Sus scrofa: one gene and its partners. The main gene of each other region encodes a partner of the protein of the gene in region 7 in a complex. Links are inferred from orthologs where the notes say so. Each region holds a gene or a part of one and is shown on either strand. Other genes may lie near its edges. The genes, in order: MORF4L2, ACTR6, EPC1, UXT, ANP32E, ING3 and RUVBL1.

Evidence for each region.
Region 1: RUVBL1 (region 7) and MORF4L2 share a complex: the UniProt entries of both Homo sapiens proteins name them as parts of the nuA4 histone acetyltransferase complex. The link is inferred for Sus scrofa from reciprocal best matches to the Homo sapiens genes RUVBL1 and MORF4L2.
Region 2: the proteins of RUVBL1 (region 7) and ACTR6 are in contact, whole or in part, in a cryo-EM structure (PDB 6IGM), measured with the Homo sapiens proteins. The link is inferred for Sus scrofa from reciprocal best matches to the Homo sapiens genes RUVBL1 and ACTR6. Residues at the interface, in NP_003698.1 of Homo sapiens: Lys162, Thr163, Ala164, Lys165, Gly166, Thr167, Tyr209; in NP_071941.1 of Homo sapiens: Tyr217, Tyr300, Arg338, Cys339, Leu340, Thr341, Pro342, Thr343.
Region 3: RUVBL1 (region 7) and EPC1 share a complex: the UniProt entries of both Homo sapiens proteins name them as parts of the nuA4-related complex. The link is inferred for Sus scrofa from reciprocal best matches to the Homo sapiens genes RUVBL1 and EPC1.
Region 4: RUVBL1 (region 7) and UXT share a complex: the UniProt entries of both Homo sapiens proteins name them as parts of the PAQosome complex. The link is inferred for Sus scrofa from reciprocal best matches to the Homo sapiens genes RUVBL1 and UXT.
Region 5: RUVBL1 (region 7) and ANP32E share a complex: the UniProt entries of both Homo sapiens proteins name them as parts of the SWR1-like complex. The link is inferred for Sus scrofa from reciprocal best matches to the Homo sapiens genes RUVBL1 and ANP32E.
Region 6: RUVBL1 (region 7) and ING3 share a complex: the UniProt entries of both Homo sapiens proteins name them as parts of the SWR1-like complex. The link is inferred for Sus scrofa from reciprocal best matches to the Homo sapiens genes RUVBL1 and ING3.

Annotation. Positions count from the first base shown.
Region 1 is NC_010461.5:84,563,505-84,567,490, reverse strand, and holds the start of MORF4L2 (mortality factor 4-like protein 2), read left to right. Parts: upstream 1-1,186; 5' UTR 1,187-1,326; intron 1,327-2,450; exon of another isoform or gene 2,451-2,731; intron 2,732-3,986. UniProt on the Homo sapiens protein: Component of the NuA4 histone acetyltransferase complex which is involved in transcriptional activation of select genes principally by acetylation of nucleosomal histone H4 and H2A.
Region 2 is NC_010447.5:83,926,277-83,930,262, forward strand, and holds the start of ACTR6 (actin-related protein 6), read right to left. Parts: upstream 2,801-3,986; 5' UTR 2,715-2,800; coding exon 2,647-2,714; intron 1-2,646. UniProt on the Homo sapiens protein: Required for formation and/or maintenance of proper nucleolar structure and function. Plays a dual role in the regulation of ribosomal DNA (rDNA) transcription.
Region 3 is NC_010452.4:42,839,523-42,843,022, forward strand, and holds part of EPC1 (enhancer of polycomb homolog 1), read right to left. Parts: intron 880-3,500; coding exon 761-879; intron 681-760; coding exon 594-680; intron 1-593. UniProt on the Homo sapiens protein: Component of the NuA4 histone acetyltransferase (HAT) complex, a multiprotein complex involved in transcriptional activation of select genes principally by acetylation of nucleosomal histones H4 and H2A.
Region 4 is NC_010461.5:42,175,642-42,178,386, forward strand, and holds the end of UXT (protein UXT), read right to left. Parts: intron 874-2,745; coding exon 810-873; intron 597-809; coding exon 546-596; 3' UTR 501-545; downstream 1-500. UniProt on the Homo sapiens protein: Involved in gene transcription regulation. Acts in concert with the corepressor URI1 to regulate androgen receptor AR-mediated transcription. Together with URI1, associates with chromatin to the NKX3-1 promoter region.
Region 5 is NC_010446.5:98,855,614-98,859,113, forward strand, and holds part of ANP32E (acidic leucine-rich nuclear phosphoprotein 32 family member E), read left to right. Parts: intron 1-881; coding exon 882-1,063; intron 1,064-3,500. UniProt on the Homo sapiens protein: Histone chaperone that specifically mediates the genome-wide removal of histone H2A.Z/H2AZ1 from the nucleosome: removes H2A.Z/H2AZ1 from its normal sites of deposition, especially from enhancer and insulator regions.
Region 6 is NC_010460.4:25,947,956-25,950,227, forward strand, and holds the end of ING3 (inhibitor of growth protein 3), read right to left. Parts: intron 1,069-2,272; coding exon 952-1,068; 3' UTR 501-951; downstream 1-500. UniProt on the Homo sapiens protein: Component of the NuA4 histone acetyltransferase (HAT) complex which is involved in transcriptional activation of select genes principally by acetylation of nucleosomal histones H4 and H2A.
Region 7 is NC_010455.5:72,227,881-72,231,380, forward strand, and holds part of RUVBL1 (ruvB-like 1), read left to right. Parts: intron 1-2,405; coding exon 2,406-2,495; intron 2,496-3,272; coding exon 3,273-3,422; intron 3,423-3,500. UniProt on the Homo sapiens protein: Possesses single-stranded DNA-stimulated ATPase and ATP-dependent DNA helicase (3' to 5') activity; hexamerization is thought to be critical for ATP hydrolysis and adjacent subunits in the ring-like structure contribute to the ATPase activity.

The DNA of each region.
Region 1 (3,986 bases), on a different chromosome or scaffold from region 7:
ATAATTTTTAATCTGTGAAACGGGACAGAGAACATGCAGGGTGTCTCAATAGAACATGTACTTTTTTTTTTTTTTTTTTTTTTTTTTTTGGCTTTACATTCTGCAGCACCCTCTAGTGGAGTGTACAAAAATAAGCATTTTATTTCTGCTCTTCAAAGCAGTGCTTTTTAACTTCGGTGTGCGCTGGAATAACCAGAACAGTTTGTTATCTGTCGTAACACAGAAAGCCAAACCCTACTCCTAGAATTTCTGACTGGTTAGGTTGGAGGTGAGGCCTGAGACTATAAATTTCTGACAACTTCCCAAAAGGTGATAATGATGCTACCGGTGAGTCTGGGAAACACACTTTGAGAACCTCTGCTCTAAACCTCACCCATTCCCCGGGGGGGGGGGGGGGTGTATGTGTGCGTATTTATGAGCGCATACCTGCGTGCATGCACACATGTATAGGATCTATAACTGAAAGAGGTACAACTTTTGTTTGATTTTGATTAGTATCCATCTAATAAGGATTTTGTGAAGAAGAAAAGAATATCTGTGTGAAGAATATGGTAACACTACCTAAAACACAGAAGGCATGCAAAAAAAAACCTGAAAGCACAGCATATAAATCCCAGGGCCTCAGAACTAGTAAATGGTGGAGTAAGGTTTAAAATCAGGTCTTTGACTCCAAAAACATAATACGGTTTACCAGTACCACTACAGAAAACAGGGTAGAAACACATACCTAATCATAATTTCAAGAGGAAAAGAAAATCAGTTTTCAGTAATTGGGTCCAAGTCCAGTAAAGATGTATGTCTTTACTAACTAAACAAGCCATCTATATTTTCACTTGGGGTGGGGGTGGGTAAGGGTGAGGGAAGCACTTGAAGTGAAGATCCTAACCCCAGAGACGCTTCCAATCTTCATCAGCACCAGTACCTCAAGTCTTTCATCAGTTCTGACTGCCCACCCCTGGCAAAAAAAAAAAAAGGCAAGAAAGAAAGAAGAATGGGAGGGGTGATTTTTTTTAATAAGGAAATGAGGTAAAACATTTGTATCTAGGGCCATAGTCTCCTGATAGAGCAATTAACAGAAATTAAATTGATTTTTCCCCAGCAATGAAATATATATGAGTGATTTCTATAGATTGAAGAGTTCAGCAAATCAGAAAGGGGGGGGGAATCCCATAATTCCAGGGACCAAACAGCCAATCCTTTGATGGAATTTGGCGGCATCTAGTGGCAGATGCAAAAGGTATAAACCTCATCCAGAGAACTTTCTGGAAAATTAACTGAGCGCGTACTTGCCTGAAGAGCACACTGCTTGGAGATCAGGAGTGAAAGGTAAGAGAGCCTCAACTCCTACAGAAATTGGGAGTCCCTAGTGGAGGGGAAGTCTGTTGTATATAGATATTCTCTGCAGAAAATTGTTTGTGCCAAGAGAATTGTACAAAACTTGGGGAAGGGGGGAGGGGAGGGAGCGGGTAAGAGGTGGGGAGAAGGTTATTAGGGAACAGGAAAGAAACTGTTTCGTGGAATTGCTAATATAGGAACGGGAAGGTTCGGCTTTTAACCACTGGAGGGCTAGGGTTTAATACAGGATTTTGACACGGAAAAAAACGTGGGAAGAAAGTGTAATTTTAGGGTTTAAAATTAAATCGATGAGAGATCGAAATATCCCTAGCAAAGACCCTTTATCTTAGTTACGGTCGCCTTGCCTTAACTATTTAATGATTTTCCTTTTCATCAGAACAATATTCAAACCTACGAAAGTAGAAAACGATTCTTACAGAGCGCGCGCCCCCGCACACATCCGTGCGCGCGCGTGTACACACACTCACACACACACACACACACACACACGAAGGCGCACGCACCCGCTCGGCGACACACAACGGCCCCAACGCTAGGGGCGCACGCCTGCGCACACCCGCCTCCAACGCCACGAGGCCTGGCGTTCGCGCATAAGCCATCCCCAAGGCCACGCGGGCTCGCCTGCGCACAAACGCCGTGGCCCTGACACCACACGGCCGCAGCACGCCGCCACCCGCCACCAGCATACACACCGAAACCCCACTCTGCCTTTTTTTTTTTCTCCAAGAGTTGCGCAAGAGGTTGGGGGCGTGGCCCCAGATTTGACCTCGCGCTTCCCCACTCGCGGGAACTTTAGCTCATTTCCGCCCATCCTGTTTCCGCAGGCCACGTAGACACTTCCTTTCCCAGTGGAAAAAAAACCCATAATGCCTCCCTGCAGGAAAAAAAAAAAAAAAAAAGAAAGAAAGAAAAAAAAAAAAAGAAAAAACCTCTGGTCAGAGGAACTCTGGGTCGTGAAAATAGGCCACGTGAACACCCTGCCCTATAGACTTATGACCCAACTGCTGTCGCGCTTTTGGGGGGCGGGCTAAGAACCTAAGAGGGCGAACGTCATTGGCCACAGTCCGCACTAAAGGAGGAAGGTGATTGGTTTTCCTCAAGTCTTAACCGTGAAGAAGCAGGTTGCTAGCACCCGCCTTTACTGCGGCTAAGTGTCATTGCTGACGTGGTGGGCTTCCACCAATCATTTGGTTATGGAACATTCTAAAACTTAGGCAAGACGATTGTGATTGGCTAGAGGGCGTAAGCCCGCCTCCAGGGTGACGTGTCTGCCTATGGATATCAGTTGCCAGAGAAACCTGGCTTTACTATGGCGGTTGGAGGGTCGGCAGTGATCACACGTCGGCTGCTGGAAAGAACTGGATTCTCGTTTCAGGTTTCGGGGTGGGGGTGGGGAGAAAGGGTTGCCGATTTCCTCTTATCGTTGCGTATATAGACAAGATTAACTGATGGCTTCACAATCAGGCAGAGCTAGATTCAAATGCCTACTCGCCAACGCCCAGCTTGGGCTGGCTCCCGTTCTTTCTGTGTCTCGGTTTCCATGTTTGTAAAATGGTGATAATAATAGTATCTACCTCAGAGACGTGTGCCTCAGAGGCGTGTGCTGTATATTAGTGCGTATAACTAACGAATGCAAAGTAATATAATATAATACGCTTAATAACTTAATATGAAGCCTGACTCCGGAAGATATTAGCTGTTATTATGGAGAGAAAAAAACGCGTAATAGAGAAAGAAAACATAAATTATGTAAAGTCGTTCATTATAGTGTTTTTCCTGCCCATCATCTCCTCCCCTAGAAGAAATTCGAGATATAAAAGAGACGTATCAGTTTTTACCGATGGAATAGTTTATTTGGGAATTGCCTCAAAATAGCGGGGATTGGAATTTTCCATATTGAAAAGTTTAAAAAAAAAGCGGCGGGGGGGATGGGGGTGGGGAGAGATGGAGAATGAGCGAGCTGGAGATGAACCACATGCGATGAGTAGGCCTTGTTTGGATCCTGATTCGGACACATTAACTATATTTTTTTAAAAAACTGTTTAAGATGCATCGGGATATTTTGAAGTCGTATTCAAATTCGATTTTTTGGGGGAAATTGATGACGATGTTTTAGACGTTAAAATGGTATTGTGGTTATGGTTTCAAATTGTCTTTAGCTTGTAGCAATATATATGAAAATACGGATTAAATAGTAAAATGTCTGAGATTGGCTTCAAAATATGTTGATATCTATGATTTGCTTCAAAATAATCTCAGCGGTAGGGGGACGTGGGGAGGGGTATAGATGAAACCAAATTGGCCCTAAGTTAATCGTTTAAGCTGAGTGATGGGCATATATGATTTCTTAAATTATACTGGCTTTCTTGGTATATGTTTGAAATTTTCCATAATAAAATACAGAAAGTCAGCTATTCACTGAGCTTGAAAAAAACGGAGTGGGGGGGGAGCAGTGGGTGGGGTTATAGATAAAACAAGATGGCCTTCAGTTGGTAATTGTTGAAGCTGGAGGATAGATTCGCATAGGCTTATAATATTATTCCCTCTACATTTTTATCCATTTGCAATTATCCTTAATTAAAATTTTTTAAAGGCAAAAACAAACTAGTTTATCAGAAATCAGGGTAAAT
Region 2 (3,986 bases), on a different chromosome or scaffold from region 7:
TTTATTTGTCTTTTTCTAGGGCCGCATCTGAAACTTATGGAGGTTCCCAGCTGGGGGTCTAATCAGAGCTATTGCCTCAGGGTTCCTAGTCGGATTCGTTTCCGCTGCACTATGACAGGACCTCCTCCTGGAGAATTCTTTTTTTTTTTTTTTTTTTTTTTGTTGTTGTTGTTGTTGTTGTTGCTATTTCTTGGGCCGCTACCGCGGCATATGGAGGTTCCCAGGCTAGGGGTCCAATCGGAGCTGTAGCCACCGGCCTACGCCAGAGCCACAGCAATGCGGGATCCGACCCGAGCCGAGCCGCGTCTGCAACCTACACCACAGCTCACGGCAACGCCGGATCGTTAACCCACTGAGCAAGGGCAGGGACCGAACCCGCAACCTCATGGTTCCTAGTCGGATTCGTTAACCACTGCGCCACGACGGGAATTCCCCTGGAAAATTCTTAATACCATCCTGGTTTAAAAAAAAAAAAAGGGCAGGGAGTTCCCATCGTGGCTCAGCAGTAACAAACCTGACTAGTATCCACTAGGATGTGGGTTCAATTCCTGGCCTTGCTCCGTGGGTTAAGTAAGGATCCTGTGTGGCTGCGGCTGTGGTGTAGGCTAGCAGCTACAGCTCCAATTTGACCCCTAGCATGGAAACTTTCATATGCCACAGGTCAGGCCCTAAAAAGACATAAGAAAAAAAGGGGAGAGGGGAACAAGTTCAGCATTCTAACCAGAAAATTAAGTTTCCAATGAGTCAAAGATTTTCAATCTGTAAGATGCTATAGGGTACACAAGTAGGAAGTAGTTTTAAATACAGTTGTTACCCACCATGAGTTTACAGTCTGGTTAGGAAGACAAACTAGAGCCATGATCAGTCATACATGTGTACACATGTATGGTTGTGTATACACACACACACACACACACACACACACACACACACACACACACAAGAAAGGGGGACAGAGTTTATCACCCCAAAACATGCCACTTTAGCATGAGGACTATTTTGAGTTAAAAGCATCAAAATCCTTTTATTAATTGGGGTGATACTGTAAAGATGTTTTGTACCTGATATTTCACTTACTATATTGTCATTTTCTCTCTGTTTAGTCTTTGAGGACATGATTTTTAAAACCTGCACTGTAGCCAATCTTATGGCTATAATTTAATTGTAATTAATTTACTATTCTTGATTATTTAGCTTGCTTCCTCCTCTTTTTTTGTCACCATACAGTGTCTATAAATGATACAGAGAATTCCGGGAGTTCCTGTAGTGACTCAGCAGTAACAAACCAAACTAGTATCCATGAGGCCATGGGTTCAATCCCCGGCCTCGCTCAGTGGGTTAAGGATCCGGCATTGCCGGGACCTGTGGTGTACTTGCAGATGTGGCTCGGATCCTGCGTTGCTGTGGCTGTAGGCCAGCAGCTATAGCTCTGATTCTATCCATAGCCTGGGCACTTCCATATGCCTCGGGTGAGCCCCTAAAAAAAAGACCAAAAAAAAAATGATACAGAGAATTCTGTACCTACTCTTATCAGGAACTCATAAATTATTCCTCAGGTAACTAATAAGAGAATAGCTGTTGGCAGACAAGAACAATGATACACATTGCCAAAATAAGACCGTAACAATTTACATTCCTATGCAGTTTGTTCTCTCAAAAATGAAAAGAGGTAAGAAGGGGAAAAAGTGTCTTGTGAATATGCCAGAATAAAAGCACATCTTTCAATTTGCTTAGTCTTTTTTTGTCTTTTTGTCTTTTTAGGGCCGCACCTGCAGCATATGGGGGTTCCCAGGCTAGGGGTTGAATTGGAGCTGCAGCCGCCAGCCTATACCACAGCGACAACACGGGATCCAAGCCGTGCCTGAGACCTACACAGTTCACCGAAACGCCAGATCCTTAACCCACTGAGCAACACCAGGGATCAAACCCATGTCTTCACGGATGCTAGTCAGGTTCATTAACCGCTGAGCCACAGACAGGAACTCCCTACATTTGCTTAGTATTTACTCAAACATATATACTTCACGAATGCCACTATAGTATTGCTTAACTGAGTCAAGTGCCAAGCCAAAGAGCACTTGGAAGGGCTTAAGTACAAAGCCTCAAAGTCTCTAGCCACTAAGTGGTTTTCACACTTTTGGAGTTCATAGAACCCTTTGAGGAGCGGACGAAAGCCGTAAAACGGAGTTCCCTGTGTCGCTCAGCGGTTTATGCCTGGGAACTCACACATGGAGATGGGTGCGTCCCTAAAAAGCCAAAAAAAAAAAAAAAAAAAAAGCTGTAACAGTGTCCCTAAGAAAATGCATAAACACACAAAATGCCCATGATTCCTGAGGATTCATGAATTCATGAACTTTGCGCAGGGAACCCTCCCCCTATGTCCGGAACGGCTTCCCTACAAGCCTATTTTCCTGAGCCATTTCCTGTTATGAAACAAAACACGCGACCCACTTCCGGGGCCCAGGGGCCCAAAATTAATAACAAAGTCCCACTTCAAAGCATCCCAACAGCCCGGCTCCAACCACGGCATCCCTCTGGCTGAATGAGGGCCTCGCAGGGGAGTTTACTGACATCCCACGATGAAGCGCAGCATCTGTAACTTATTAGGTCTGTAGGCCTTGTCCCTCAGAGGAACCGTACACTTACGAGACATTTTCATGGCTGTAACCAATTTTTGCATTGTAGGCTCCGTTATCCAGTACTAAGGTCGTCATTTTAGCGCGAAAGACACCAAGGCAGCTTTCCTTTCCCAACCCTTCTGCTCACGCTTTTTCCGGTACTCTATGGTTTGCACCCAGGGAGCCGGAAGAGCGTTTCCTGTATCCCTTAGCAACTGAGGACGCCGGAAGTCAGAAAGTGCTTGGCGTCGCGCAACTTGTCTGCAATTGTTTTAGGGTGCTTCCTATCCAAACTCATGTAAGTTCTGGCCACATTCAATAAAAGGAAAATCGCTGCTTTTTCCGCCCAATGCGTGCTGCCTTTACTTTGCAGATTAAGTCGCTCTTGGAAGTTTCTTATAATGCCTGTAAGGAACTAGCATTGCGGGGTTTGCTGCGCAAACGTTAGGGGTGCATGTGTATTCAAATGGTATTGTTTAGACAGTGACATTGAAACTGACAGCATTAAGGGCCTGAACACAAAATGGGACTTGCACTTAGGTGCTGGGGACCAGAGCCCACGTTTTAAATTAGCATTCACCCAATGTCTGGACTTAATGACGTTCAGGTTCTTAATGCCTCTGAGCAGAAGGAATTCAGCGACAGACAAAGTGATAGGCAAGAAATAGGTTTATTAGGATAGAAGCTTAGGAGAGATGCAAGCAGGCAGGCAAGGAAGCTCTGCCCCAGGAGGATACTGGTGGGCTACAGTTTTATCATCCAAGGGGAGTGGGGATCAGAAAAGACCGCCTCTTCCTTTACTAGCTCCTCCTTGATATCCGGTAAGGTGTGTATTCAAATCAGCAAAGGGGTGGTCCTCAAATTCCTTCCCAAGGTCTGAATCTGAATGCAGGCCTCATCCCATCCCCCACTCAACGACCTAAGGCAATTCTCGGACCTCCCCTAGTCCAGCAAGCCTGCCCTATCCTGAAGGCTTCTTTGAGCAATTTATTAACTTACAATGACCTCCCCAAATCCCCTAGATTTCCCTCTCTCTCTATGATCCTTTATTAGGACTTTTACAACTGCCTGTGCCTACTCCATCCCCATCAAAGTCGTTTGAAGAATAAATTGCAAAACCTTATGCACCATGGAATTGGATAGGAGGACTCCAGCTTCATTACTTGCCACTGCCCATCCGACTGTATCCAACCACCCTGTTACAAATATGCTGTTCCGTCAACAGCCGTGCTTTCTAGCACTCACATTCTTCCCTGTCTACTTGTCCTTTTGGATGGGGCTTTTTTTTTTTTAATGGCCACAACCCTGCCTTACGGAAGTTCCCAGGCCAGAGATTTAATCCCAGCCAGAGCTGTGACCCTTGCCTGC
Region 3 (3,500 bases), on a different chromosome or scaffold from region 7:
CACCACTAAAACGAAGTGTTGGAGAAGAAATATGCTAGTAGAACATTTCAGTGATTTGCAATGAATCAATGAATGAATAAATTCATATAAGGAACAAATAAGTATGTAAACTTCCATCGCCAAACTTACACATATACACACACACAATATCAAAGGAACCTATGGGGCAATAAGATTAACTCTTCCCTTTAAAATAGAAGTAACAAAACATCACATCCAAACTTAGCCAGCCTAAAGATTAAGAAGCCCCTTCAATTTTTTTACAATGAATTTTTCCCCTAAGATGTTTAGAAATACAAATCTTGGTCTTTAATTGGGCTTTAAAATGTGTTTAAATGCCAAACATCTGTCACGCTTTACGTTCAAAAGTGATTTCTTTTCATAGTATAAGAGGTCATTTTCATCCAATTTTTAATAACCTTTAATAGTAATTTCACTCTCTCAGATAATGAGCTGGGCAGGGTTGTCTGTTAAGGAGATACATTCACAGATTACAAATCGGACTTGAACACAGGGTCTGCCTCTCATCTGACTGAGCGTTTTAGTTTTAGTTTTTAAAATAGGGAGCAGAGGGTGACAGCTTCTATACTCACCTGTAATGTTCTTTCTAAACCCTGTACAGAATGGCTAGGATGCAGATTCAGGCGAAAGCCACTTTGCTGCTCTTTAGATGCAAGGTTCTATGACAACAGTTGGTAATTAGAGATGAACTCTGGTGGGAAACAATGAGGGATAATCATGAGACAGACAAACCTCTCACCTGTGCAGTGGTGGAGGCGGAATTGCTATCTGCTTGCTGTTGCTGAGTTTGTGCAAGCTGCTGTTTCTGCATTAGCGCCAGTTGCTGTTGATGCTGCTGGTATTGTTCGGCTGTAAATGCTAAACATAAAATGAGAAAACACTTTACAAAAACGCACTGCTATTGCGCACCTCTAACCATATACTAGAACGAACTTGAGCATTTTAAAAGATTTTGTGCAGATCTAAAGCATTTTAACAACCTGCTAAAGATCGCCTCCAAACGAAAATCTCAGCATTTTTATAACCACTCTTAACAAGAGTGTCTTGAGTTTAAAGAAATCAAGCTTTCTGAGTTACACCTAGGAAAGAGAAGGTCTCACTTCCCAAGTTTCAAAACCATTATTTTTGTAAGCTCTGACACTTGTGCGAGACAGTGTAAAGGGTAATACCAGCTTTTTAAATCCACATAGTTGAAATTTCAACTCTACACTCAGCTGGAGAAGAAATCTGATAATTACCATTTGGTTTCTAGTTTATTTGTATTACTGTCCCAATGCATTCAGATGATCCCTAGCAGTTCTGTGTAAAAATACTAACTATTCTACATATATTCTAGTTTTAGCCATTACAAACTCTTCCTCTATATGAAATATAAGGTTGTTTATTACCCTTTTTTTTTTTTTTTTTTTGGTAAAGAACCCATCCTTTAAGTTTAATAGGAAGAAAAGAGGCTCCAAAGGTTAATTTTCCCCACCCAATTAACCCACCTGGAAAAAATCCAGTCAATAAGAACGGAGTTGTTTATGTTGGTTTACTGTACAGAATGATGTCTGAGGAAAGACACTGTGTTATGCTACTTATGTTTGTCTATGGAGAGCTCAGTTCTAAAAAAAACAAACAAAAAAATGTTCATTTATTACCCCCCCAAAAAGTGTGTGCAGCTTTTAAAAAGGAAACCTTTTTCTTTTTTTTTTTTTTTTTTTTTTGCCAATTAAAAAAAAAAGAAAAAAAAAAAAAAGCACATACAATCACAACGTCTGACTTTCAAAGGCTTCTTTAAGAAGCCTGTGATGTTTGGGTAAGAATTATTTTAAAATAAACAAAAAAAAAAAGGGTTATCATGCATCCCTGACTTAGGGAATCTATAAACCATGCATACTACCTCAATCTAAAGTTTAATGTTTTCAAAAGACTGTCAACTAGTTGATTATTGTCTTTAACTGCATTTTGATGATTTAGTTAAAATACTACTTCATCAAGTTTTGTAATTTTCACTCACAACTCATAAAGAATCTTTATCTCCCGGGATATAGCTTCTGTCTAAGACAACTACAAAATGCTTCAATAGATGTTAGGTAGAAATTCTACCATATTTTGAATAAATCAGATAACTGCAAAGTAATAGTTAAGAAAACCTCAGAAGTTATTAGTATTTACACAGGTTCTTATACTTCAGCTGAACAATTCTCTTAGGCTATAAAGACAAAAAGTTTCTTGTTGGAAAAATGCTATGATTCGTTTTCTTCTTCTGGGTGTTACAAATCTGGTTGCAATCCCTCCTTTGACCAGTTTCTTTTCCTAGTGTGCAGTCCTCAGACCTGAATTCTCCAGGAAAAGACTTTATTGATTAGAGGATAATCCCCAAATCAAAGTCACTGTCAACATGACCATTTCCATATAACAGAAATGGGGTTAAATCAGAATTGAAGAAAAAGTGAAAAAATAATGCTTCCCTGAACGAATGTTTGTGATTAACATAATATTTAGCTTTATTTAAAAAAAAGTCCGTAAAAAGCAACTGTTTAAAACAAAAGATACTGAATTTATCAGATAGTTTTGCTAATATGTTCTTGCGATTTATACTTTAATTTCCTAAGTTTGCGTGAGATGCCTAAATCTTGAGTTTCCTCATAGGAAATGCTTAGTCAACTTTTAAAAAAAGAAAAGAAAACAGACCATTTCTGAAAGGTGTCATTATACATCTAGAAGACAGTAACTTAGCATTCATTATAAAGATCTATGTATAAAACTCCATGTATATAAATGAAAATATTCTTTTATAGAACTTTGCTCGTGTTAGTGTGTTTTAATGAAAAAATTAGCAATATTTAAATTGGAAATCAATTTGAATAAAAGTTCCAAATATTTTTGCCCTATTTAAATCAACATTTTAGTCTTTAGTCTTTGAGAGTTTTATAGGAATTTTACATTTTAACAACTGTTAACTTCCTCCTGATACAGATTTAGACATAAAAATGCAACTAAGTTAGATGACTGTGCTATAGATTCTAGAGCCCTATGATATCAGCCTTTCTTGAACATCTCTATACTCCAGAGTCCAGTTATGAAGTCCTTTTCCAGCCATGAGGTGCTAAACTTTTATATTTCTTTGGAGAAATAAAATTCCAATCCAAATGGCTGTATGAATGAATGGGAAAGTTTGGACAAAGGTAAGGCAGTAAATTTGGGCAAATAAAATCTAGGCTACGTTTTACACTGAGGCAACCTTGGACGTCATGATAATTCAAACTGTAATGCTCAGTGGAAATAAACAAAAATGACCATATTTCCCTAAATCTCTATCCAGGAAGAAAGTTTTCAGGTTGCATGTCTAAGGATTCCAGATAAGGTGTGGCAGTCAAGTTTGCAGTTCACACAAAGATGGACAAGATGGTTTTGTGGACAGATGACCAAACCTTGAATCAGAATCATTTCAGAGAAACACGTAATTTTAAATCAGGAGGGATTCTTGGTGGTTT
Region 4 (2,745 bases), on a different chromosome or scaffold from region 7:
CCTAGAATGAGGACCGGACCAGGGAGGGCGGGCGAGATCGGCCCTGCGCCCATTGCTGGAGCTGTAACTATTTAGAAGCTGGGACAAGGCCAAGGTTGGGCCTAGACGGGCGTGGGTGTAATTTAAGTTACCTGAGGAACGATTGGAGTGTGGGAGAAGGGTAAACTTTAGGGCCAGGAGTGAAAGGTTGATTGCCTTAGGGAACAAACCGCCACCCTGAATCGGCCCGTTCTCTATGGTTAATTCAAGCAGTAGTGCACAGGAAAGGAAATAGAAAGAAGGGTCAGGTGGGGGCCCAGGTTGCCAAGGCGATGGTAGAGAGGGCAGAGCGGAAAGTCAGGTGGCACATTCTGCCAGGAAACAGGCTGGAGGCGGCACTTCAGTGGTGCTTTAAAGATTCTACACAGACTGGATCTCTGCGCCTCCCAGTAACATTGTGCTTTAGAAACGGCACTTTAGCCAACAGCAGAAGTTAATGGGGGAAAGAAGGGCCACGTGACTCAAAGACATTCAGGCTCTTTAATGTCAAGGGAGGTAGGAAGAAGTCAGTGGCGAGGCTCGGGGAAATTCTGCAGACCTTGTAGTTCTCTAAGCCCCTGAAAAAGAGAACAGAAGAGATTGAACGGAGACTGGGTCCAGGCCCCACCTCAGGCTTGCTTGGAACTCCCTTCCCTCAGAGCCAGCCTGGTTCCTGTCTGACTCATTTGGAGGGAAAGATGGCCCTTCCCATCTCTGGCTCTCTCCCTTCCTCAGGACACCACCCTAAATATTTGGAGATAGAGTCTGGGAGTGGGGTGAGCTGCTCTCACCTCTAGCAACATGTGGATATGGGCCTTGATATTCATGGAGTCCTTGGTGAGGCTGTCGCTGAGCCTGGAGAAAAGAAACGAGAAAGGGCGAGGTGGGCCCCACTTAGGATCCGTGAGGATGATGTGCCCTCACCGCTTCAAGAACCGCCTAAGTCCTGGATGACTTCCACACGGCAGGTGGTGGGACCCCTACTACCTGGCCTGCTCCTAGGCAGACATGCCTGGCCGCCATCTGCACTACACTGATTCCAAGACCTTTACTGAATGCCTACTCTATGCCAGGTTGTTTTAGGTACTGGGGAGATAGCAGCAGACATAGCAAACGAAAATCTCGGCCTCTTGGAGCTCAGATTCTCATTAAGGGGGACAGATGATGGAGTAAAATATGGAGTATGTCAGATGGTTAAAATTATAATGAAAAAAAAATTAAATGAGAGAGGATATGGGAGTACAGGAGTGGGGGCTGGAATTCGAATTAGGGTGCTTAGGGATGGCCTCACTGAGAAGCGTTTGAGTAGAGACTTAAAACAAAGAAGCGAGTCATGTGGACATATGGAGGATGTGTGTTCCAGGCACAAGGGGTGGAGAGTGCAAAGGCTCTGAGGTGGGCGCGTACCTGGCATGTCTGAGGCCCAGCGAAGAGGCCAGTGTGGCTGGAGAAGAAAAAGTGAAGTGGGGAGGTAGAGGAGGCGAGGTCACGGAGGTAAGTGGGGGAGATAGTTCGTGTAAAATCTACCAGGCCATGGTGAGGACTCTGGCTTTGACTCTAAGTGGGATGGGAGCAAGGGGAGTATTGTGATCAGAGAAGGGAGGTCAAATGACTAGGGTTTCAGAGGATCCATCTGGCTGCTGTGTGGAGAACCGACTGGGGATAAGGACAGCTGGTGTGGAAGAGGAAGGCCACTGCAGAGGCTGTCGGAATCGTCCAGGTGAGAGATGCAGACTCGGACCGCAGTGGCAGCGGTTGAGGGGATGAGAAATGATTGGAGCTGGGATACTTCTTTGAAGGTAGAGTCAATAGGATTTACCAAAGGAGGATGTTGGATGCAAGAGAGAGAGGACTCAAGGAAGACACCAAGGCTTAAAGCAACTGGAAAGCGGGACCACTCTGGCTCTGGGCTGTTGAGCTACGCCAACCAGCCCATTCCTACCTCCTGACATCTAAGCCAACTGCGACCAGGCTCACCCAAAAGAAGCCTAAGTGATGCAAAGGATAAAAGAAGGCCTTTCTGAAGAATGAGTAAGAGTTAAACAGGACAGTCTTTCACAAGAAGTCCGAGAGGCCGGAAAGAGCTTCTAGAGGAGCAATCAGGAGGCCAGTGTTAGAAAGTAAGTGAATGGTGGAAGGAAAGTGGCACAAGATCCAAGAGGTAGGCAAGGGCTAGATCATGCACGGTCTTGATATCCTGATAAGGAAGGTGGATTCTATTGTGCCGAGTTATCCTGTCAACGTAAGAGTCAGTTTTGGGGAAACTAAATACTGTTAAGAAAAGTAGAAGGCAACGACATAGGATGTTAAATTGGAAAAAAAAAAAAGAGTGTAAACTCATTTATGTATCACTATCTCCCCCCAGTTTTTCTATTTTGGCTCCCCCGCAGCATATGGAGTTCTGGGTTAGGCATCAGATCCAAGCCACAGCTGCTATCTATGCTGCAGCTGCAGCAACACTGGATCCTTTAACCCGCTGTGCCGGGCTGGGTATCGAACCTGCAGCCTGGTGCTGCAGAGATGTGGCCGATCCTGCTGCACCACAGCAGGAACTCCACTATCTCCCAAATTTGTATTTTCTTCTTTGGCTGGGGTGGGGGCATGCAGAGGTTCCCCGGCCAGGGATAGAACCTGTGCCACAGTGGCAACCCGAGCCACAGTGGTGACAACACCAGGTCCTTAAATACCAGGCCGCCAGGGAACTCCCCAAATTTATATTTTCAGTCC
Region 5 (3,500 bases), on a different chromosome or scaffold from region 7:
ATGATTATTATAATATTATGCTCCATGAAGTTATTATATTTGTGTAACCACCACCCAGTAAATGTGGCAACTTTTAAAATAGACTTGGGGGGAAAAAAAAAACATTCATCACAGAATTATCCATAAAAGTCACAAAGTAGAAACAACTCAGATGTCAGTGACTGATGAATGGATAAACAAAATGTAATGTATCCATACAATGGAATGTTGAATATATCAGCCCTAAAAATGAAGTGCTGATACATGTTACAATGTGAGTGAACCTTAAAAACAATTCTGCTAAGTGGAAGAAGCCATACTCAAAAGCCACATTAATGACACCATTTATATGAAATGTCCCATAGAGACAAATTCATAGAGACAAAGTAGATTAATGGTTGCCAGGGCTGGGGGAGAGGAGGATGGTGAGTGACTGCTAATGGATAGGGGTTTTTTTGAGGGGGTCATGGAAATGTTCTAGAGAGGTGAATACGTTTTTGGATATATGAGTGACTAATAGATCAGATGGTAGAATAGCTATTGTTAGTAATGGGACACTGTTATCATTGGTTGAAAAGTTCTTATAAGAAGAAATTTGATGGATAAGCTATGTTATAAAATGATGGACAGGCAGGTTTTTGAAGTATTTTTGAAGTAAAACAAACTTTAGTACATGTAATGTTTTGATGAAAATCTATATGTTGGGGAAATTTCAATATTTAGACACCATATATTTCAGACAGTAAATATGGATGTTGTAAAAGAGAAATCTCCAAAATAATCACACTGAGATACTTTCCACCCACTGGCTTAAGAGTTTTAAGGGCCAGGGCAAAAAAGATCAACATACTAGCCAAAGACATTTGTCCAGACATTTGCTTATCTCTTAAAATATTTTAAAGATGGAGATGAAGATGATGAAGATGAAGAGGAAGATGAAGCTGGTCCACCTGAAGGATATGAGGAAGAGGAAGAAGAAGAGGAGGACGAGGATGATGATGAGGATGAAGATGAAGCAGGCTCAGAACTGGGAGAGGGAGAAGAGGAAGTGGGCCTCTCCTACTTAATGAAAGAAGAAATTCAGGTGAATAGACCTTCTTATGTGCATTGAAAATTATTTAGGCATAGGGTTATGTAATATAAAAAGTAAGTTGTGTAGAAATCAGAGTTGTTTCTAATTTGTGTGTGTGTGTGTGTGTCTGCCTGTCTTTTTTCCACTGCCTCCCAGTTCATACGACATCCAGATAATCATGAACCCTGTGATTTTACCTCCCAGTTATCTTTCAGATTCATTCTGCCCTCAGCACCATGGTGTAGTGTACACATTTTACAATGTTTCCACGCCTGTTTCTACATTTATAAAAACGAGATTATACCAATCTCCTAGGGTCAATTTAAGGATTTAATGAAATAATATATGTAAAGAATCTAGTTGCTGGCATGTTGTGGGCACTCATGAAGACTTGCTTTTCCCCTAATTATTTCTTGCCTTTACTCTTCTAGTACTTTTCTAAATGGTCTCTCTGAGAACAGCGGTTGCCACTTAGGTGTACCCTCCACAGTGTTTGCCTGCCTAGTCTGCATGCAAATGTGAGCCCATCACTAGCCTACTTGAAACCCTTTAATGTCTCTCTGTTGCCACCAGACTTACAAGGCCTTTCATTATCTAGCCTCTGCTTCCTTCTCTAGCTTCATCTCCCTCAATACCAAATCAAATCATACATGAAGCTCTCATTGCCCTTCTGTCTATTCACACATTGTTTATCTAAAATGGGGTTCATGCCTTCTGATGAACTTTCTTTTTTTTTTTTTTTTTCAGGCAAAGATAAATACCGTAAAGTGTACTGATTTTATGTATAACTCCATGAAATGTTATATATGTACACATGTAACTACCACTCATATTATGCCTTGTGATTCTTTAAAAACTCAACTCTGGGAGTTCCCGTCATGGCGCAGTGGTTAACAAATCCGACTAGGAACCATGAGGTTGCGGGTTCGGTCCCTGCCCTTGCTCAGTGGGTTAATGATCCGGCATTGCCGTGAGCTGTGGTGTAGGTTGCAGACGCGGCTCGGATCCCGCGTTGCTGTGGCTCTGGCGTAGGCCGGTGGCTGCAGCTCCGATTGGACCCCTAGCCTGGGAACCTCCATATGCCGCGGGAGCAGCCTAAGAAATAGCAACAACAACAACAACAAAAGACAAAAAAAAAAAACCTCAACTCTGGAGTTGCCTTATTACTGAAGTTTTCTATACATTTTTTTTTTTTTTTTTTTTTTTTTTTTTTTAGGGCTGGACCTGTGGCATATGGAAGTTCCCAGGTTGGGGGCCTAGGCCACAGCTCATGGCAACTCCAGATCCTTAACCCACTGAGTGAGGCCAGGGATCGAACCCACATCCTTATGGATCCTAGTTGGGTTCATTAACCACTGAGCATGAAGGGAACTCCCACCTATACTTTTTAATAGGTAATCATTCCATACTCTGTTACCTTTGAACTTTGGTTAGATTCTGTAGATGCTGTAAAAACTTGTTTATTTGGCCACGTTCTGCTAGATCGCTCCTTCAGGGAAGGGCCATTCATCTTCATATCTCTCAGCATCTACTACATTGACTGGGACGTAGTAGGTTCACAGGAAATATCAATTGACTTGAACAAATGATCTTTAGCCCCTGGGAGTTTAAATTATTTTCTCCTCATGTTAAATTATTGAATTTTGTTTTCATACTTCATAATTTAAAGTAATATTTATTATTAAAAAAATCTCTTATTTAGACTAGAAATTTTTAGTATTCTTATTTGTTCTCCTAATGAATTTTACATTGGTTAGATAAGACTATCACAGAATAATGATGACTTCTCTCTGATACTGTTTAAAATATGAAACTCCTGGAGTTCCCGTCGTGGTGCAGTGGTTAACGAATCCGACTAGGAACCATGAGGTTGCGGGTTCGGTCCCTGCCCTTGCTCAGTGGGTTAATGATCCGGCGTTGCCGTGAGCTGTGGTGTAGGTTGCAGATGGGGCTCAGATCCCGCGTTGCTGTGGCTCTGGCGTAGGCTTGTGGCTACAGCTCCGATTAGACCCCTAGCCTGGGAACCTCCATATGCCGCAGGAGCGGCCCAAGAAATAGCAAAAAGACAAATAAATAAATAAATAAATAAATAAAATATGAAACTCCTGGAGTTCCCGTTGTGGCGCAGTGGTTAACGAATCTGACTAGGAACCATGAGGTTGCGGGTTCAATCCCTGGCCTTGCTCAGTGGGTTAAGGATCTGGTGTTGCTGTGAGCTGTGGTGTAGGTTGCAGACGTGGCTCCGATCCCGAGTTGCTGTGGCTCTGGTGTAGGCCGGTGGCTATAGCTCCGATTCGACCCCTAGCCTGGGAACCTCCATATGCTGTAAGAGTGGCCCAAAAAGACAACAACAACAAAAAAATTATGAAACTCCTGCAGAAAAAATGGGACTTAAACTTGTTTGGGGCCTTAGCGAGTTAGCAGCTTTAAAAATTTTGAGTATTTAAAG
Region 6 (2,272 bases), on a different chromosome or scaffold from region 7:
CATTATTAAAGAAATAACAGATTACGCAGCATTCTGTGTCCTGGGCCTCTGTCCTTTTTAGATTATGAAAATTGGAAGTTAAATGGAATTCAGAAATTTTCATTATTAAGTGTGTAAAGTATAAATACAAGTAATTTTTTAAAAACTTTATTTTAACACCTAATACAATTCCAATTTTAAGGATTACTTGCACAAAAAAATAAACACATTTGGTATAAAAATGTATCACTTTAACACCCTCTCCCTTCAGCCCCTCCCCCTCCCACCCTCATGAACTGCATTCTATCTGGATGCAGAAACATATAAAGACTAATGGCACAGATTAGTTTTTACCTACAGGAGTTTCTGTTTATGTACCCAGGTACTCTAGAGGACACCAGCCCACTTTATCACATGAACCATTTCCTTCAGCCCGCTGAATTTAGTTTCACAAAGAAACAAAGCTTATTATAAAGGCATTTAAAAAACCATTATCTTAAATTCTTTTTAGAAGCACTGTCTTTTTTTTTTTTTTTTTTTTTTTGCAACCATTTATATACAGTGTTACATAACAGCTCTGGAGTACAGTACATGCAGCAGAACATACCTGTTGAATATAAAATACTTTTCTTAAAATCTTCATCGTTGGAATTCATTGAAGTGTAAATTATAGAATGCCCATTACTTTGAGAAAATGGTTGAGGAGTACAAATGTCTGCATATGTTGGCCACTGAAATAATCCAAGGCTAACTGGAATAATATTCAGAGCACATCAGGAGTGCATAAATAATTTACTTACATTATTAAAATACAACCCATAAAATTCAAGTTCAAGATCTTATAGGATTGTCTATGTAAATCCTTAAAGTGGGTGCTTGGAAATGCATTGTTTCTTCTTTCGCTTTTCTTCTTTTTTAAAGTCCTATATAAAATGTTGAAGTTGTTTTCTTCCTCAAATGAAATGACCACCCTTATTTGTGCCGACTGCCTCTTCTCTTCATGGCAGCAGTGCACTGTGGACAGTACCATTTCCCTTTCGGCGCTTCTGTCAGTCCAACGCATCCATAATGGAACCATTCTATAGGGCACTAGAAAGCAAACATGAAAAGAAACAGCTTTTTGTCAAAGACTAGGAAGAATGGTAAAACGTGCCCAGGAACTAAATATTAATGATTAGATGTGTGGACTCAGATCGAAGAGCTGGATTAGAGATGATTTAGTCCAACTGATAAGTTTCAGAGATAAGGAAATGGAGACATAGAAAATTATGCATCTTTAGCTGAGTTTCACATAATCTATTCTCATAATCTCAACGAACACAAATTCACTGACTTTCATTTGAAGAGTACATCGACACCAACTCACAAGGACAAGAAGTGAGACAGGTCTCTTACATAGAAGGCAAAATGTATTTCCAAGATTTTATTTAATATTCAGCCTTATTTGTGTTCTTACAAAGTAAAATTAGCCAGCTGTAATGAAAGACATAAAGTGATGCCCTGGGTTTCTTTCTGGGTCTATCTATTCCTAGATATGGAGAGAAAAAGAACTCCGCTGTTCAATATATGAAGTGGCTCTACAAGTGCAAAATCCTAGGACTGAGAACAGCACAACTGGGAATGAGAGGGATCAGAGAGTCTGACAGGGTATTCACAGAAATCTCACTCATCATCTTCAATAACCGCCCGAGAAGACAGTTTACAATGGTCTTCTTGAAATGGCTGGGGGCTACTGTTTTGCAATAACCATAAACAACCCACAAGAGAGTCTATAGAGGAAAGTGGAAGGAGAGTCTTTCTCTACCTGAACGTCTTGGGACCCTGGCTGGTTAGGAAAGTACACATTTTTATGAGCCAACCCTGCTCAATCTTCAAACTGTTTTAAACATTTAAAACTCTTAGCCTTAACCTGCAGATCCTGACATTCAGAGTTGTGTTACCCCTCTGGAGGAAAAGATGGACAAAAAGGGGCTGACAGTGAGAAGGGAATGGAAATTACTAGACAAAAATATTCATGGCATTCAATAAAAACATATCTCTAACCCCAATTAAACTTCATAGAAAATAAATAGGAGTTCTTTTCTTTCAAACCTTCTTTATTTTTTATATCAGAAGTGGCTCTTATCAGCTGACACCTGCAAAGCAGTAGGAAATACTACACTAATGGGAGGGAAATAAGCACATGAGAGCCTTCACCTTAGCATCATGCTTCCTGAAAGGATGTATTGTTCTAAAAGTTCCAATTCTTCACTCTGATAAGTGAACTGAATTCTAGCAAACACAGCATTCTTTG
Region 7 (3,500 bases):
TTGCTCCCATTTGTTGTCTGTGCCCTGGGCCAAGTTCTTCAACAAATCTGAGTGTGTGTGTGTGTGTGTGTGTGTGTGTGTGTGTGTGTGATTTTCCTCATTTTACAAATGAAGGAGCTGAGGCTTGTGGGGAGGTTAAGCAGGTATCCTAGGATCACACCGCTAGTTAGTGGCAGAGCAGTCTCTGAGTCCTAACCACTGTGTTGTCTGTCCTCCAGCTTGCTGTGTGACCTTTAGCAGTCAGTTGAGCTCTCTGGGCTTCCATTTTCCAATCTGTGAACTGCAGTGGACTGACCATATAATTTCTCCATCTTTGCTCTCCTCTGTGATTTTATGGTTCTTTGATTCTGTAAGGTGGTTTCTTGGTCACTGCTTTATGGAGATCATAAAAACGTCACTTCTTCTAAGGGCCATTTTTCTTTTTCCTAACAGGGTTTCCATCTCAGGAGCTTGCCTCTGCAAATCTCTCTCTCTTAAACCTCCTCCTCATCTCTTCCATTCTGTATTAATTAGATTTCTGGGTAGGATCTGCCACCTTTCCAGTAATTACATCTTCAGTCAATTCATTTGGGAAATTAACTGATTAAAAATGATTGAGAAAAAAAAAGAATGTGTACTATACAAAGTAGGCTAGATAAAATAAGGCATGCAGTTTATTTCAGCTATTCATAAAGCTGTTCTGCACAGCTTTGTTTTGTTTTTAAGAAAATAACAAAAGGGTGAATGTTTTGCTTCTAAAATGAGTGCTTCTAGCTGCTTTAAGCATATGTACAAGCTGTTTGGAGAGACAGAGTTCAAATACTCTGCGGATATGTAAGTGTGAAGGAGGAAGTGCTGTCACCTTTATGGAGTCCTTCCCTCATCCCAGCCCTACGCCAGGGGCCTGCCACCCCCCCATCTTCATGCTCAGGGCCCTCGGGCCCACCTCACCAAGGAGGTAGAGCCATGGGTGCCTTCTGTGGTTAGTTACTCTTTGTAACAACTTCATTGAGTTCTCATTTGAAGTAAAATTCACCCATTTCAAGTGTATTACTCAAGGAATTTTAGCCTGTTTACAAAGTTGTATAGCTATCACCGCAGTCCAAATTTAGAGCATTTTCATTACCCCAAAAGAAACACATTGACAATAGCTCCCCATCCTCCCCCCGCCACCTCAGCCCCTGGCAACCACTCATCTACTTTCTGTTTCTATATATTTGCCTTTTCTGAACAGTTCATGTAAATAGAATTGTACAATATGTGTACTTTTATATCTGGCTTTTTTCGCTGAGTCCTGGGTTTTTACCCTTTTATTTTTTTTTTTTTATTTTATTTTTTTTGTCTTTTTGCTATTTCTTGGGCCGCTCCCGCAGCATATGGAGGTCGAATCGGAGCTGTAGCCACTGGCCTACGCCAGAGCCACAGCAACGCGGGATCCGAGCCGCGTCTGCAACCTACACCACAGCTCACAGCAACGCCGGATCGTTAACCCACTGAGCAAGGGCAGGGACCAAACCTGCAACCTCATGGTTCCCAGTCGGATTCATTAACCACTGTGCCACGATGGGAACTCCTACCCTTTTAATTTTGATTAAACAAAGCCGAAGTTTTTTCATATATAAAATGTAAAGTTTAATGGAGAGTAACAGCTCCCTTCGAAGTTTAACTGCGAGAAACTTGTTTCTAAATATTGACCCCTTAAAAAGATGCTGTCTTAGAGTATTTATCACGTAGGGTAGCCTGAATGTGGATGATCTGGAAAAAGGCATCAGTTCCAAAATGTGCTACTTTACTTTTCTGGAGACATAAGCAGATGGGCTCAAGGGAGCAAACACAGGGATTTGCTTGAGTGGCTTGGGAAAGATCCTGGTTTATGTTTTCTTTGAATTTTACACGTCTGTGATGGTGGTCACCCCTGGTGCCATTATATAGGTGAGGAAACTGAGGCTCAGAGAGGCTTGTCCAAAATCTTAGGCCCACAGAATGCCAGCCACGAAGTGTAAGCAGGTTTAGCATGCTTCACTTGCAGAAAAACACCACGCCTGCCTAACATGGGAAGAGTGAAGAATTGAAGCAGGGGAAGCGATCTCAAAATGGGTGTCTGGGTCTGTGGTCCTGTGGACAGTATGGGCCCTACCTGCAAGCAATCAGAGCCATAGCTGCCAGTTTGCAACCTTGGGAAGAAAGGCAATGAGTGGCTTGGGTCTCCCTTCGTGCCCCTCTCCTGCCTTCACTGGGCACTGAAACCCCAAAGCCAGTCTCACACAAGCTGACACATGTGTGCGTATACACACGTTCTTTTTCTTTCCATAGGGTCATAGCTACCTCAACACTCTGACAGAAAGCTACCTTAAAATATGTCAGAAATAAATACAATATGTGAATGTGTTCTCTGGTTCACTATTTTTTTTTTTTTTTTTTTAAAGCTGGACCCCAGCATTTTTGAAAGTTTGCAGAAAGAGCGAGTAGAGGCTGGCGATGTGATTTACATTGAAGCCAACAGTGGGGCTGTGAAGGTAATGCCACAAGGAGACCCAGGTGGCCAGGAAGTGGCTTCCTTTCTTCCTGGGTCCAGGGTGTGTGGGGAGGGACTCTGGTGTCTTTTGTGATACTGATGGAAGGTCAGCAGTTGCTCCTTTATGTTTAGTCAAGTTTGCTTTCCTTTTATCTGCATTCTTTAACCTTCTCATGATTAAAACAGAGACAGTCTGTTAGAAAAATACTAAAACCTGTTTAGAGGGGGAGAACGGTGAGAAAACGAAAGAACTGTAGTCATTTTCAAATTGAAATGCACAAGGTATTTAATCTTCCTTTTATCTCTCTGGTATTTTCTTCCCAAGATATATGCATGTGGAAAGGAATGCTGCATTAGTTGGCATTCTTTTTATATCTGATTTTCAGTGTCCTGTACAGAGTTCCTCACTGCTTAATGGATGAGCATAATACTTCATATCATACAATAAATCACCCACCTACAAAAGAGTCTTGAACAGCCCCTCCATCTCCAGTTAATGTACTGGATTTGCCCTTTATCAGAAATTGCATACAGTTAAAAGGAAGGAGGGGGGAGATTCTGGGAGAGAGTATCGGGTGTTTTTCAACTGGGTTTTGGAGCACAGCGATGAGCAGATACTGCCTCCTCTGGGCAGCAGGGAAGCAGGCCACGTTTGGAGTTTGTCAAGGCGGCTGTTGGGCCGCAGTTGGGACCTGGGACTTTTATCTCACTTGGCGCTGGGCCGCTTGGGGACTTGGCAGTGGAACTCCCCAGGCCTCGGGCCTCTCTCTCTCTGCAGAGGCAGGGCAGGTGCGATACCTACGCCACAGAATTCGACCTTGAAGCTGAGGAGTATGTCCCCCTGCCCAAGGGGGATGTGCACAAGAAGAAGGAAATCATCCAGGATGTGACCTTGCATGACTTGGATGTGGCCAACGCACGGCCCCAGGTAGGACAGCAGCAGGCCTGCTGGCACAGGAACATTTTGTATGCTGGAGGCTCCAGACCAACTGTCAGTCTTGCTGCA